Oryctolagus cuniculus: one gene and its partner. The protein of the gene in region 2 interacts with the protein of the main gene of each other region in a pairwise test. Links are inferred from orthologs where the notes say so. Each region holds a gene or a part of one and is shown on either strand. Other genes may lie near its edges.

Region 1 (3,046 bases), on a different chromosome or scaffold from region 2:
AGCCCATGCTGAACGCGGGGCGGCGCGGGGCGGGGCACGGACGCGGGGCGGGGGGGCGGGGGGACACGCACCGCCAGCTTGGCCTGCCGCTCCCGCTCCTTCTCGGTTCGGAAGCGCTGCTGCTCGGCTCTCTCGGCCCGGCGCCGCTCCTGGAGGAGGGGGAGGCTGAGGGGCGTGGGGGCGGGGGCGAGGCGGCCCCACACTCACTCCGGGCCGCACTCGCAGTGCCCCGCACCCCGCCCGCACTCACGATGCGCTCCTTCAGCGCCACCAGCTCCTCCTCCTCCTTCTTGCGCTGCTCGAAGTGCACGTCGATGAGCGTCTGCAGCTCCAGCAGGTCTTTCTCCATGCGCTTGCGGTGGATGTCCTGCGGCGGGACGGACGGCCTGGGGCGGGGCCGGGACCCCGCGAGGCGCGCGGCCCCCCAGGGCGGAGGGCGGGACCCAGGACCCCCTCGCGGCGCGGCCCCCCAGGGCGGAGGGCGGGGACCCAGGACCCCCTCGCGGCGCGGCCCTCCAGGGCGGAGAGCATGGACCCAGGACCCCCCTCGCAGCGGGCCTCCTCCAGGGCGGAGGGCGGGACCCAGGACCCCCTCGTGGCACGGCCCTCCAGGGCGGAGGGTGGGACCCAGGACCCCCTCGCGGCGCGCCCCCCCTGGGCGGAGCAGGGACCCAGGACCCCCTCGCGGCGCGGCCCTCCAGGGCGAGGCCAGGACCCCGGCGGGGCGCCCCTCCAGGGCGGGACCCAGGACCCCCTCGCGGCGCGCCCCCCCAGGGCGGGGCCGGGACTCCGCGAGGCGCCCCTCCAGGGCAGGGACCCAGGACCCCCTCGCGGCGCGGCCTTCCAGGGCGGAGGGCAGGGACCCAGGAACCCCTGGCGGCGCGGCCCCCCAGGGCGGGACCCAGGACCCCCTCGCGGCGCGGCCCCCCAGGGCGGGGCCAGGACCCCCTCGCGGCGCGGCCCCCCAGGGCGGGACCCAGGACCCCCTCGCGGCGCGCCCCCCCAGGGCGGGGCCAGGGCCCCCTCGCGGCGCGGCCCCCCAGGGCGGGACCCAGGACCCCCTCGCGGCGCGCCCCCCAGGGCGGGACCCAGGACCCCCTCGCGGCGCGGCCCCCCAGGGCAGCGGCTACTCACATCGAAGTCCACGCGCTCGCCTTCCGGGATCTTGGGCGGCATCAGCGGGGGCACCACGGGCCTGCTGAGCGCATGCACCGTGCTGTACACGGGGCGTGAGCGCGCCACGCCGCGCGCGTCCGCGCCCAGGCCCCTTACAGGACAAGCCTCGCCCCCAGGCAGCCGCCCCTGCCCCGACAGGCTGCATACGCGCACTCGCCCTCAGGCCCGCCCGCGCACCGGGGCCGTCTGCCTCTCCCAGCCTGGACATCAGAGTCCCCCACTGTCCTGGTGCTAGCAGACCTGCACACAGGGGAGGCTCTCTGCAGGGCTCGGGCAACCCCTCCCCCAGGACGCCTTCCGAGATGCCCAGGGCCAAGGCAGGGGCCATCACAGGGCAGGGCACGGGGCCAGCCCGGCCCAGCAGGTCTCCCTCTCTGCCTGCCCCGCGGCCCACCACCCACCAGTGGAGCAGCAGGGAGGGCTTAGCAGGAGGTGATGGGGCCCCCGCCCGCTGGGGTCTCACCTGGGCTTGGGGCGCTCCTCTTCTGCGGTGGTGGAGATAGAAAGAGACAGTTAGTGAGCGCTCTGGGGAGGGGGCCCGGCCTGGGTTACCCTGGGGGGAGGGGACGTCCCCGGAGCCCAGGGCAGGGCCTGGCGTCCAGTTCTGGGGGAGGGGTGTGGGGAGCAGGGAAGTGGGGTGGCCGCGAAGGGGGAGGAGGCTCACACGCATCACATATACATTCAGAACCCGAGTGGGGGCGCCCCCGCCCCCAAGCTTTCTGAGAACCCGACCCCTCCCCCAGGCCCGCCGCACTTACAAGCCCATAGCTGCAGTCTTCCCTCATCAGAACCCAACACGCAGGGAGCCCAGTCCCGACCCCCCCCCCCCCCGAGTTCTGTCCGCGTCCCCGCCGCAGTGGGGCCCCCCACTGCCAGTTCTGACAACTCTAAACTCCGGGTCCCAAGCTTTGAATGTATATGGGGGGAGGAAGATTGACAGGGGCAGGGGAGACGAGGGGCTCTCTGCAAACATCCAACCCTTCTTTAAATGTTCCCCCAGGGCGGGGAAAAGAAGGTTTGGGTGTCGGTCCCTTTAAGAAGGAAGGGAAAGGGTTAAAGGCGCTGCGAGGCCATTTCCCTTCACTGCCGCCAGAGGGCGCGAGGCTCTCTGGGGCTTAAAGGACCGCGCTGGGGCGGGTTGCGGCGGGAGTGGGGAGGGGAGGGGGCGTCACCAAGGAGGTCAGGGTCCCCCGGCCCCCGAAATCGGGCTCGGGAAGCGAAGCAGCCGCGGTTACCTGGCTCTGCCACCGGCTCCGGCTCCTCGGGGGCTGGGGAGGGGGCGGGAGGAGAAGCCAGGGTTTGGGGCAGCAGGGAGGGGAGCGGCCAGGCGGGGGGGGGGGGGGGGGGGGGGAGGCGGGAGAGAGGGGAGGGGGAGAGACGGCAGAGGCTGTTAGAGGAACTGGAGCCCAGGCGCCCCGGGCGCCCCCCTCCGCCCCGGGCCCGCGAGCAGCTCCAGCCCTGCGGGGGGCCGGGGTCTCACCTTCCTCCTCCTCTGCAGCCTCCTCCTCTGGAAGCGGGTGGGGCGCAGGAGAGAGGGCGTTAGGGGGTCGTGGGCAGGGGCAGCCCGAGCCCTGGGACGCCCCTCCCCCCACGGCCGCAGCTGCTAGGGCGCGGGGATCCCCCACCGCCCCGGCACCCCGGAGTTGCCGCAGTCCTCAGCCCGCCATTGGCCAGGGTGGGCGATGGCCGGGGTGGGCGATGGGTGGGTTAGGCCCATGGCTGGGGTGGGCGATGGGTGGGGTGGCCCGTTGGCCAGGGTGGGCGATGGGAGGGATAGGCCGATGGCCAGGGTGGGCGATGGGTGGGGTAGGCCCATGGCCGAGGTGGGCGATGGGTGGGGTGGCCCGTTGGCTGGGGTGGCCCGTTGGCC
Region 2 (4,047 bases):
CCCTGGCCAGACTTGTCTTCTTGCATCTTGCCGCCCAGGGCCTGCATGCTGGTAGGGGTCTCCCGGCCCTGGGAGAGGAGCCCTGGGGCCAGCAGTGGTGCACAGAGACAAGCTGTGACCCCTGACCCTTGGGTGCCCATCCTTCCCTCTGGCTTCCGTCCAGACCGTTGGAGCAAGTTGCTTGGCTCCTCTGGGTTTGGTTTCCTCCGACAGGAGGAAGAATTGCCGAAGCTCTCTGCGGGAACAGGAAGTGCCCAGCACAGAGCAGAGCCCCAGGAAAGCGCAGCGGCTGTGACGCTCCTCCCCTTGGAGAGGCCTCAGGGGCTCCGACACAGCGCGCTCAGCGGAGGTGCTCCCCGAGGGGGCTGGTATTCCCATGCAATACAGATTGGACTACTTTTATAGCGACCCACAGCCCGTGTGCATCCTGTAGCCACAATCTAGACCAGCGGTGAGGAATATGCACCAGGCACAGGCACTGAGCCCGGCATTCGGGACACCTGCTCCCCCTAGCTGAGTTCTCAGGTGGATCCTCGGCTCCAGCTCCTGACGCGGGCTCCTACGATGCAGACCCGGGAAGCTGTGCTGATGACTCAAGTAATTGGGCTCCTGCCACCCACGTAGGAGACCCAGATTAAGTTCTGGGCTCCCAGATTCAGCTCCAACTCAGCCCCCGCTGGGCATTTCACGCATGAACCAGCAGATGGGAATGTGTTCTCTCTCTCTCTCTCAAATAAATACATTATTTTTAAAACGAAAAAAGCACATTCACCATGGAGTCAGTCACACCTTCTCTCTTCTAGCTGTGTGGCCTTGGGAAAATCTCCGACCCTCTCTGAGCCTCCGTTTCCTTATAGGAAAATGGAGCTGCGAATGCCTCACAGAGTGACTGAGACAGGAAGTACTCCGGACAGTGCCTGAGCACAGCGTGTGCTCAGGGAGCACTTGACTGTGTCACATTGCCCATCGGTGTCCTAGCCCACAGTCACAGCCACGCTTCGGCCACTTAATGCATTAACAACGGGGCAGAGCGGCCATCACAGGCCCCAGGCCAGGGCTCTTCCTCCGCGGGCATGGTTGGCAGCACCTCTGGGCAGGCCACTGCCTGCTGCCACGTGCTTGGTGGAGGTTTTAGACCAAAAAGGCTGTGAGGTCAGCAGCTGGGAGTGGTGTCAGGATGTCCTCATTTGTACCGCTCTCCCGGCAGCGGCTGTGTCTCCAGCCGGCCCCACCACTCACAGATGCTGCCTCTCTTATTAACAGGGAGACTCAGCACCCGATGGGCCAGGCTCAGCCCCAGCTCGCCCCCTTCTCGGCTGGGAAGCCTTGAGTCACTGACTTGGCTTCTTGGGGATTACAGAAGTCCCTCCCGGTCTACAGGGTGGCTGCGAGGCAGGCAGAGCCTCCCCAGGGCTGGCAAGGGAGACAATGTAGCCATCGCTGCAGCTCCTGGCTATGTTGTCACTGGGCACTCTCCCTGCCCAGCCGGCCACCTCACAGGTCCCAGGCCTGTCCCTCCCTCTCGCTTCCCATCTCCCCCGGCAGTGCAGCCCGAGGGGTCCCTAGTGGCGGGTTCTGGGGGCAGGGTCTCGGGGCCGGCGAGCTGACCTGGAGCACTCTTGCTTGTAGATGTCAATGATGTTCTCCACCAGCAGGTTCCTCTGCAGCCCGTACACGCCGTGCCGGTCCATGACCACCTCGTGGCGGCAGGACGGGCAGCGGAAACGGCCGCCGGACATGGACACCGTGCCGCTCCGGTTGGTCCAGTAAGGATTTGCGGCCTGCGGTGGCCAAGGTAGAGGTGAGGCCAGTGCTCCCTCCTCAGCCCCTTCCCTCTTGAGTCTCTCCCGCTCTTGAGGTGAGAACAGACCCCTGCCCGGAGAGCCCCCGAGCAGTCAGCAGGCCTGGCTTCCGTCTCTGCCTGACCCTGGGCAGTGACTTTCTCTCTCAAAACCTCAGTTTGCCCACTCAAGAAATGGGTGCTATAATTAGGGCAAAGGTGAAGCAGTGAAGTGGCATTGGAGACGGTGCTCCTGGGGACCGCTGGGTCCTGCCTGCCTGCCAGACCTCCCTAGAGCCCCTCCGGCTCCCACCTTGAAGAGGACAGCCTCGGTGGGGGGGCCCTCTAGGCCTCGTGCCTGCCCGTCCCCCTCCTCCCACAGCTCCGGGCCCCCTGCCACTGTGGCGCTGGCCGGGCCCCAGGGGTCTGGTTTCTCTCCCCTCTCTGCCTGCCTCCCCCTTATCACTTGAGGCATTTGACTCTCAGTCCTCAGCGGGCCCAGGGCAGGCGGGGGAGCTGTGGACAGGCTGGGAGGGACACATGCGTCATGGAGAGGCAGCGGGGCCGCCAGAGCCACCGCCCCAGCCCCAGCCCAGGCCAGAGGCCTCCACAGGGGATCACTCGGAAGCGGAAAGAATCAGCTCGCATTGCAGGGCCTTCGGCTAAGAGCAAAGGGCCGCCGAGTTGCCGCCCAGGGACCCAGGAGCGGCCATGGCCAGCACCGACCTGGAAGATGTCGTTGGCACACTTGCGGCAGAGGTTGTGCTGACACGGCAGGATGACCACCGGCTTGGTGAACATCTCCAGGCAGATGGGACAGATCAGCTGCTTCTCCAGGTTCTCCATGGGGCTGCCATCCTGGATCAGGCCCGACTTGTAATCCATAACGTTGGGGTGGCTGCCTCCTCCACCTGCTGGCTCCGGAGACCTGTGCCTTTGTCACAAACACCCGCTCGGAATCTCTCGGCCTTCTTCTCCCCGCGTCTGAATTCTGTCCGGGACTGGGGCCCCTCTGGTATTTATAGCTGGGTCTCGGTCACATGAGCCCGGGAGGGGACCAGCTGAGCATTCCGATGCCAAGTGCGCGGTGGGGCTTGAGTTTCTTCCAAGCCTGGGAGACGCGGCCCTCTCAGATCACACGCAAGCCTGAGCAATCGCTGTTCCCCGGGCATAGGGGGTCGAAAACAAGAACAACCTGTTCGGAGGCAGCCTGGCGGGGGCATGGGTACCCAGAGTTCCCTCCAGAAACTGGGTCCCCCTAGCTAGGCTGCTGGGCCAGGGATGGGATCCAGGGAGGGGACCTCGGGGATTCAGGGGTTCATAGTCACTGTCCCCCTCATTAACGTAAATCAGTGCCTGCCACTCCCCTGGAGTCCTGGGCAGCTCTCAAGATAAGGGACAGGGCCGCCCCTCTCTGAGCCTCGCACCTGAGCCCAGCGTCTCATGTAGACAGGGGAGGCCCCACCCGGGGTGTCTGTCTCCCTCTCTTGGCCACTTATTCCCCTTAACGCTGAAAGGGCTCCCTTGAGTCCAGTCCCCTCATTCTATAGAGTTTGAAATGAGTCCCAGCAAAGAGAAGACTTTACACTTCCTAGCAGCAAAGCCAGGAACCTTATCCACACACCAGACATTCTTCAGTGCAGCAGGGACCAAGGTGACAGGCAGAGGAGCGGTCTCCTGCCCTGGGATGTGCACAGCCCAGGAAGGAGCAGAGGGGAGCAGCTCTTATGGAAACCCCGCCTGGACGCTCAGCACTGGCCGGAAGGCTCCCCTGGGTCTCGGCACACATTTTCAATTTTACTCCACTTTAAAAAAGCTTTACTTATTATTTTTAAAGATTTATTTCTTTTATTTGAAAGACAGAGTTACAGAGAGGCAGAGTCATAGAGAGAGGTCTTCCATCTGCTGGTTCACTCCCCAGTTGGCTGCAACAGCCGGAGCTGTGCCAATCTGAAGCCAGGAGCCAGGAGCTTCCTTCCGGTCTCCCACGTGGGTGCAGGGTCCCAAGGACTTGGGCCATCTTCTACTGCTTTCCCAGGTCATAGCAGTGAGCTGGATAGGAAGTGGAGCAGCCCGGTGCCATGGCTCACTTGGTTAATCCTCCGCCTGTGGCGCCGGCATCCCACATGGGCGCCGGGTTCTAGTCCTGGTTGCTCCTCTTCCAGTCCAGCTCTCTGCTGTGGCCCGGGAAGGCAGTGGAGGATGGCCCAAGTGCTTGGGCACCTGCACCCGCGTGGGAAACCAGGAAGAAGCACCTGGCTCCTGGC

The links. The genes of interacting proteins can lie anywhere in the genome.
Region 1: the proteins of TRIM63 (region 2) and TNNT1 interact in a two-hybrid assay, tested with the Homo sapiens proteins (2 studies listed by BioGRID and IntAct). The link is inferred for Oryctolagus cuniculus from reciprocal best matches to the Homo sapiens genes TRIM63 and TNNT1.

Annotation. Positions count from the first base shown.
Region 1 is NC_091449.1:3,709,460-3,712,505, reverse strand, and holds part of TNNT1 (troponin T, slow skeletal muscle), read right to left. Parts: intron 2,684-3,046; coding exon 2,657-2,683; coding exon of another isoform or gene 2,589-2,656; intron 2,445-2,588; coding exon 2,412-2,444; coding exon of another isoform or gene 2,395-2,411; intron 1,662-2,394; coding exon 1,640-1,661; intron 1,268-1,639; coding exon of another isoform or gene 1,196-1,267; coding exon 1,135-1,195; intron 368-1,134; coding exon 251-367; intron 150-250; coding exon 72-149; intron 1-71. UniProt on the Homo sapiens protein: Troponin T is the tropomyosin-binding subunit of troponin, the thin filament regulatory complex which confers calcium-sensitivity to striated muscle actomyosin ATPase activity.
Region 2 is NC_091438.1:145,360,169-145,364,215, reverse strand, and holds the start of TRIM63 (E3 ubiquitin-protein ligase TRIM63), read right to left. Parts: upstream 2,815-4,047; 5' UTR 2,666-2,814; coding exon 2,507-2,665; intron 1,782-2,506; coding exon 1,609-1,781; intron 1-1,608. UniProt on the Homo sapiens protein: E3 ubiquitin ligase. Mediates the ubiquitination and subsequent proteasomal degradation of CKM, GMEB1 and HIBADH.